2 linked regions of the Rhinolophus ferrumequinum genome follow. The protein of the gene in region 2 purifies or fractionates together with the protein of the main gene of each other region. This does not show direct contact. Links are inferred from orthologs where the notes say so. Each region holds a gene or a part of one and is shown on either strand. Other genes may lie near its edges.

Evidence for each region.
Region 1: the proteins of BCAP31 (region 2) and cytochrome b5 purify together in Homo sapiens (co-immunoprecipitation; 4 studies listed by BioGRID and IntAct, with this or other methods). This does not show direct contact. The link is inferred for Rhinolophus ferrumequinum from reciprocal best matches to the Homo sapiens genes BCAP31 and CYB5A.

What each region holds. Positions count from the first base shown.
Region 1 is NC_046302.1:56,994,470-56,998,374, reverse strand, and holds the start of cytochrome b5, read left to right. Parts: upstream 1-1,261; 5' UTR 1,262-1,376; coding exon 1,377-1,505; intron 1,506-3,905.
Region 2 is NC_046284.1:6,695,471-6,699,375, reverse strand, and holds the start of BCAP31 (B-cell receptor-associated protein 31), read right to left. Parts: upstream 2,542-3,905; 5' UTR 2,391-2,541; intron 1,280-2,390; 5' UTR 1,239-1,279; coding exon 1,147-1,238; intron 1-1,146. Other genes in the region: ABCD1 (ATP-binding cassette sub-family D member 1), read left to right, coding at 3,220-3,905. UniProt on the Homo sapiens protein: Functions as a chaperone protein. Is one of the most abundant endoplasmic reticulum (ER) proteins.

The sequences.
Region 1 (3,905 bases), on a different chromosome or scaffold from region 2:
CAGAAATTACACATGAATATTTCATAACTATAGATGCAAGAACTCAACATATACTTCATTTATATATCAAAATGTATTAAAGATATATGAGCGGGGTTTATTTCGGAGGTGCAAGGCTGGTTTAGTATTTGAAAATCAATGTGTTCCATCATGTGAAAGGCTAAAGAATATTTGGAATGCTTTCTTCTCAAAAGGAATGCATTCATATAGAGGCGGGAAGGGGTGGGGGTGGGGATGGGGGAACTGACATTCACAAGCACCGATGGTGACAGAACTGTGCTCAGTCCCTGGGAGGATGACCTAGGTGTGCAGCCTGTGGTGTAGCTCTTTGTGGAATTACCTACCGTTGCTAAAAGGGCCTTAATAAATATCAGATGACTTTTTAATATGCTGCAACTTTTCTGTTTTGTTTTCTCTTCGAGTGTTTGTAAACCTTCACGTGAGTGCCCACGGGGGAGGTACTCTTCCAGAGTTGACTCAAAGTGCTGTCAATCATTTAGGATTCACCTTAACAATATACTGTTGAGCCAAGCCAAGAAAGACACTAATACAAGAACTCGCCTAGCCAATGGGTAACAGCGGAGTACATCAGTTACAGAAATAATTAGAACATTTCGCTTTTTATAAACAAATAATTTTCCCGGGTTTGTTTTTCTCCTGTGAGAACTGGGCAGTCCTGGGGGGTGGAAGAGGTAGTCAAGCAAAATTAGAATTACAGTTTGTTCTGGGCAGTACACTTGTTTCACGGAGGCTAAGGGACGGCACTGCATGTTTTAACGTCCACGAGGCTCGTTCATGTCTCTCGTCACGCTAATAGTTTATCCCTGAGACTCACAGAGGAAAGACTTTGTTACAAATTAACCTCCAGGTCTGGCTGATCTGCCTTGATTGGAAAACCACGACGTTTTTGATGTGCGGTCGCTGCCCGGGACAGTGGACTCTGCGCTGGCCCCTGTGAACCCTCCTTTGACAGCCACGCCGCCTTGCCCACCCTGTCACCCTGTCACCCAGGTCACACCCCACCAACCCGCCTTCTGCGCAGGCGCAAGGGAAGCCCCGCCTCTCCCCGCCCCCCACGCATTCCAACAGCCGTGATCGTTGGAGGGCAACTTCTGTAACCAATCAACAGCTGCTCTGCTGGGGGGCGCCCAGGGCTGGTGGAGCGCGTAGGTCAAGGGCGGGCCACTTGAGTGACACGGACTCCGGCCAATCATGAGAGGCCGTCGCTGGCCGTCCCCTCAGTGGCGTCGGCTGCCCTGCCCCCGGCGCGGGGCCGAGCCGCGGGGAATGTCCCGGGCCTGGCTGGTTGAGACGCGCGCTGTGCTCCTTCTGGCTCGGCTGGTGTCTGCAGGGCCTGAGGCTCGCCGCGTTCCGAAATGGCCGAGCAGTTGGACAAGACCGTCAAGTACTACACCCTGGAAGAGATACAGAAGCATAACCATAGCAAGAGCACCTGGCTGATCCTGCATCACAAAGTGTACGATTTGACCAAATTTTTGGAGGAGGTGAGTTAGTGAGGCGCGACGCCAACCCGGGTGTGGAGGTTCCCAGCCTGTCGTTCGCTGCGCCGCAGGGATGAGGTGCGCGGCTGTGTGTGCGCCCCGACTCTGCTCACGCAACGCTACAGCCCTGGGAGCGGTCCCCGCGCCTGCACGCCTGTGTGTGCGTCCCCGAGTCCGCATCTCTCTGTGCGCACCTATCTCTGCACATCCGGGGTCAGTCCCCGCTTGTGCGCCTCCGGAGTCTGCACACCTGTGCGCGCCCACCTGGGAGCGACCCGAGGCTCCTAGGCCAGCACGACTGCGCGGCGAGCCGCTGTGGGGCAGGCGCTGCCTCTGGAGCCTCTGCGGAAGCGTGTGGGAGAGCGCCGCCCCGCACTTAGTGGGAAGCGAAGGCGCGGCTGCAACTGCTTCCTGAGCAGTGGGCGCAGCTAGGATGAAGCATTTGGAAAGATCCTTTTATTCTTGGGTTATTCATAGCTGGAGTCTCCACCTGGGACAGGGTCGTCCCACTTCTGTTATTCCAGGAGTGGATTCCTAATAGGAGCAGTTTGGAGACTACCCACTTCGGGAGCTGTGGGATCCCACAAGAGGGGACCCTGAGTTGGTTCAGAGGTCAGAGTGTGTGGGCCGCACCCGCTCTCTCAGCACGCATAGGCCCACTCCACCATCCACGCCTACACCCACCCACTTTCACCGAGAAGGCACTCTGTAATTGTTAACGCATCGCCTGAGGACTTTGCAATGAGGTACAGTACCGGCCCCCTGGGACTGCCCGGCTGGGTGTGTGGCTGGCCCGGCTGAAGAAGGAAGGGAGAGGGACAGAGAAGGAAAAGCACAGTGGGACTTGATCCTTCCTTAAGCAACTTTGGAAGTTGTGAAATAACTTTGCTTAACTTGAAAACATTCCTTTGATAAGATTCTTTGCGGTAGGTAAGAATGTTTGCAGTAAATTCTGAGGGGCTTTTCTTGGCTACCTCTTTTATCACTGTGGGGGAGTCTGAGTCATAAATCTTAATGAACACTTACCTTCCTTCATCCCCCCAGACAATAAAGGAGAATGTTTCCTGATGGGAATTCTTTACGTAGTTTGAGGGGATCGCTAAGACAGAGGCCTGGTCTTAGCTGAATCAGGGGACATCCACGGACTTTTGTTTTGCACAGAATTTTTTCTTTTTAATTGTTTTTAAAAAGGTTAGTGTTGAAGTTTATTAGAAACATATTTAACTATGAACTTGCCATTCTGTGGGGTGCTGGAATATAAAATAGGGCCCCAGTTTAATTAGGAGTGGTTTCTGGTTGGGAATCAATCAGAACTGCCCCGTCCCTTCTGCTGAACTGGAGTTTATTTGGCATTAGAGTTTTTTGAACTAACAATCTCAAATATAACATCAGGTGTAATAGACACCAAATGTCTACTTTGCAGTGGTTACCCACCCCCATGATATAAGTAATTTTGAGTTTTTAACATTCAGTGTTACTTTGTTTGTGTCTATTAAAAAGAATAGTGTTTATACACGAATAATGGGCTATTTTATATTATGAAGCATTTATCATTTTTTTTCTTTTTGTTGGATTCTGTCCTATACGTTGTGTTGTACTGGACTCCCAGGCCTCCCCCATCAGATGTTAGTAGCACCCCCTCCCCCACTAGGGACAACCAAAACTGTGTCCAGTTATTGCCAAATGTCCCCTTGGGGACACAAATCATTCCTAGTCAGGAATCCTTGCCCTAAAATATGTTTTGCATAACTTCTAAGGGTAAATTTCTCGGAAGGAGATAATTAGAGAAGATTATTAAACCTGACTATAAACCATTGACATTTCATTTTTATGAGCCTCCCTGGGACTTGAGTTTGGGTCCCTGCTGCTCTCTGCTCTTCATGCCCTTCGCTGCTCTCTGCTCTTCATGCCCTTCCTTCTGATCAGTGGATGCAGTATCTGCTGAGCTCTTGTAGCCTCCGTCTCCCTCAGGAGACCAGAACCCGAGAAGCCATTTCCATTCCAGGAAGCAGGAATAACAGAAAACAATGCTGTGGGCGGGACTGGTGACACACAAAGCTGTGTTCAGCTGTCAGGAGTGGCCCCAGACGGTGATGGGAGAGTCCGGCGGGCTCTAATAGACGGGACCTCAAGTCAGCGTGGGCAAGAAGGGAAAGAAAGGACCAGCTGGCTCACAGACCAGGAATGCATTGAGGTTGAAGTGGAAGGTGGCCGACACAATGGGAGTGGACCCCCCAACCCCTAAGGAGGATGGCGTGCAGGGGGAGGAGGCTTGCCAGCCTGTTGTAGCCGGTCATGGATGGTGCCAGCTTTCCCAGGACACCCTGATTCTACTTCTCAGGATACGTTTTCCATTTGCCGTCTTCACTATTTGTTTTCACTTTCTGTGACCATCTCTGCCTA
Region 2 (3,905 bases):
CCAATCTTGATTCACCTAGAATCCCACCACCCTGGGTTATCATGAAGCAGAGCCAACTTCCCTTCGCTTCCCTTCGCTTCCCTCCACGAAGACTTGAGAACGCACCTCTATCAGAGAACCTTCGGAAATGGTTAATGTAATCACAATGCCACCACCAGACCTCCAGAAAATCAGTAAAAATCCCTCATTATCAGAGTCAGAATCCCAGCGCCTAACTGTTGCATTTTTTAATAGCTGCTTTGTTTGAATCCATACCAACAAGCTTCTGATTCTGCAATGAGTTGAGAACTTAAATCTCTCACTCTATAAGTTCCCCCTTCCCACACCCCCTTTTGTTTCCTTTCCCAATTTACTTTTTGCCGACAACAAGTTGTTTGCCCCACAAAGCTTCCCAGATTGCAGCTCCAAAGGGGCCTCTGTCTCTGCCATTTCCTCTGAACTGTGTGAGCTGTGAAGATTCAGCTCTGGCTTTTGGCGAGAATAGTCCTTAGGCAGTCCTTAGGATACTGCCGATTGCATCACATCAGGTGTCTGTATTTTTCACTAAAAACGGTTTTTAAAAGTAGCTGTGGAGACTCAGCCTTATTGATAACATTCTATTTTAAGTCAGAACAATGTGTTCATATATATTATATGTAATTAAAAATTAATTTCCAATTAACTTTTAACAGGCCCTCTGCTCACCGAAAGGGACTATTGCTTCACCCTTCACGGGCTGAGTAATGCTCATGAGGCTACTACACAATGCCAGCGCGACTAGTTAGGAGGACAGAAGTCACTAAATCAGCAACAACATGTCCCCGTGGTGCACGTCTTCCGGATCCCACACTGCCATGCCCTGAACCTCAGGGACCCAAGGGAAGGCAGGAGGGCATCATTCCCAGAACCGTAATCAGAGCTGGGTCTTCTCCCCTTTGGGGCATTCTCAAGACCAGGAGACAGGGTACACAGTAAAGGAACTCGGCAAGATGTGACAAAGCTGAATGGTGTGGAAGGTTGGCAGTGGTAAACACAACCCCTGCCACCCCCACCCCGACAGGTTCTACCTGTTTCTGTCTGGCCCCATTTCCAGGGTCCACCAACTTTGCACACATAAGCTACAGGGCTCTTACTTGCTTGCCTCCTTCCTCCACAGGCCATCCATACCTTTTGGGTGAAATGAAGGGGATGCAGAGAAGCAGCACAGCAAAGACCTCTGCATAGAGGAAGGTGGCAACTGCAGTCCACTGCAGACTCATCCTGTTGCTAGGTTTCCAACAGGGAGATGGGAGCTTGTTTCCTGACAGGGCACAGAAGGAACAGGAGTCATGAGAGCTGGAACGGCCATGCTACCCTGTACCCCAGCATTCGACTCCAGTCTTTAAAGCATTGGCTGAAACGGGCGCTTGATTCAGCAGGGAGACTTGACAATAGTGCTCAAATGCCCGACCAACTGCCACTTGAAGGGGCGGAGTGACTTTGCTACCCCCTAGTGTGTTAACGCTCCAGAGCCACCTTTTCTGGACCAATTCCTCTTTCCCCAAGACACTCCTTATGCCTGTTTAAGTGAGAACGCGTTTTTTAATAAAGAAGATGACACAGACAGAAGGGAAGATTATAGAGACAAGGAAATTCTCAACACCCATCAGGCCCGTTCCCCCCGCCCCCCCCCCAGCCACCGGGAGCTCTGCAGCAGAGGCTCCCAGCTCCTAGGCAGCCCAGAGGCGGCAGTATTTCAGCAACGCACTTTCTCTGAAAGCCGAGGCGCCCCCACCCCCCACCTGGGGAAAACAGGAGGCCCTTCCCTCCCAGCCCTTTCCAACAGAGCTGGAAAAACCCAGCGGCTCCCTCTGGGGCTAGAGCGGAGGCTAACAGGCCTTCCGACTGCCGCCGCGTCTGCCTCCGATGGGGCTGGAGGACTAGAAGTACCTCAAAAAAGCCCAGAAGAGCGACTCCTAGAGGGCGGGAATCGGGGCCAAGAGCAAATGCAGGTCTCCACTAAGCACCTCACGGACTCATCTAGAGAAAGTTCTAGAAGAAGCTGTCCTCAGAAGCCAGAAGAGCTCCTCCTGGCAGCCCTGGTCAGCCACAGTGCCCACCTGCCTCGGGAACCGCCGCGCGCGACCCCCCTACATGGCCCTGGCCCGGCACGCCCTCCCCAAGTCCCATCCCGGCGACTCCTCCGGAGGGGCTTCGCCACCGCCCCCCGCGGCCGGCCCTGACACCGCCAAAGCCCAGCTCCGCCCGCCGCCACTCCGACTTTCCCGAACCCGCCCCTGCCTCCGCACTCCCGGCTCGGCCTCCAGCCCTGCGCCCCCGGGCCTCTCGGGGCTCCCCGCCGCTTTCCATCGTCGAGGGGATGGGAGACACCGGCGACCCCGGAGACCACCCAGGCGCGCGGCCCAGCTCACCGAGCTTCCCACAGACACCTCGCACGCCTAGCCGCTGCCGCCAAACTCTCCTACTCGGGCCTTGGCCCCACCCCTTCCCCCGCAGCCGGAAACCGGAAGCGCTCGCACGGCCTTGCCCCTTCCCCAACCCAAGAGAGGACCCGAAGGTTCCGCCCACGGCCGCTTTCCACCCCGCCTCCCCGAGCCGAGGCGCCAACGCCCAGGACTGGAGAAGAAGCGCGCAGGGAGAGGGGCGGGGCCTTGGCGGGAACACGAGGGGCCGCTTCTCTAGCCCGCGCGGTCCTCCCAAGTCTCTGTGGTCTGGGAAGGGGGCGGGGCCCGACCGTGGGGCAAGAACGGGGTGGGAAGCCTTGCACCCGAGCTCCGCCTCCCGCCCCTCCTCCGCCTCCTCCCCTTCCCCCGACTCGGCCCTGGGGAGGGGTGGGTGGGTGGGGATTCTGGGCGGGTGGCGGAATCACTGTCGCTTCAGCCAGGCTTCGGAGAGGACGTACGCGCCTGGTGCCCCGGGGAGGGGCGCCACCAGGGGAGGAGGAGGAGGAGGTGGAGAGGAAGAGACGCCCTCTTTGCCCGAGCCCTCTCGAGGCTCTGACCCTAAGGGCTAGGAGACTGACAAGTTCCTCCACCTCGTCTGTCCGAAGAGGCCGCGACCCTGGAGGGATCTGAGCACCAGGGGCGCCCCAGTGGCCTAGAGCTACAGTCTCAGGGACCACTGCAAGGTTTCCAGTTGCCTAGATAACGAGCCGAGGTCAGAGCAACAACTCTTCTAGCCACCTGCCTGGACTGCTGGCTCAGGCACCAGTCCCAGCCCCGTGCGTCCAGCCCAGGTGACATGCCGGTGCTCTCCACCCCCCGGGCCTCGCGGGTGACCACGCTGAAGCGCACAGCTGTGGTCCTGGCCCTCACAGCCTATGGAGCCCACAAAATCTACCCCCTGGTGCGGCAGTGCCTGGCTCCGGCCAGGGCCCCTCAGGTGCCTGCACGGGAGTCCACACAGGAGGCCTCTGGGGCCACAGTGGCCGCAGCAACCAAGGCCGGTGTGAACCGGGTGTTCTTGCAGCGACTCTTGTGGCTCCTGAGGCTGCTCTTCCCCAGGATCTTGTGCCGGGAGACGGGGCTGCTGGCGCTGCATTCGGCCGCCCTGGTGAGCCGGACTTTCCTGTCAGTATATGTGGCCCGCCTGGATGGACGGCTGGCCCGCTGCATCGTACGAAAGGACCCTCGGGCCTTTGGCTGGCAGCTCCTGCAATGGATCCTCATTGCCCTCCCAGCCACCTTCATCAACAGCGCCATCCGCTACCTTGAGGGCCAGCTGGCGCTGTCTTTCCGCAGCCGTCTAGTGGCCCATGCCTACAGCCTCTACTTCTCCCAGCAGACCTACTATAGAGTCAGCAACATGGACGGGCGGCTCCGCAACCCTGACCAGTCCCTGACGGAAGATGTGGTGGCCTTTGCTGCCTCTGTGGCCCACCTCTACTCCAACCTGACCAAGCCGCTCCTGGATGTGGCCGTGACCGC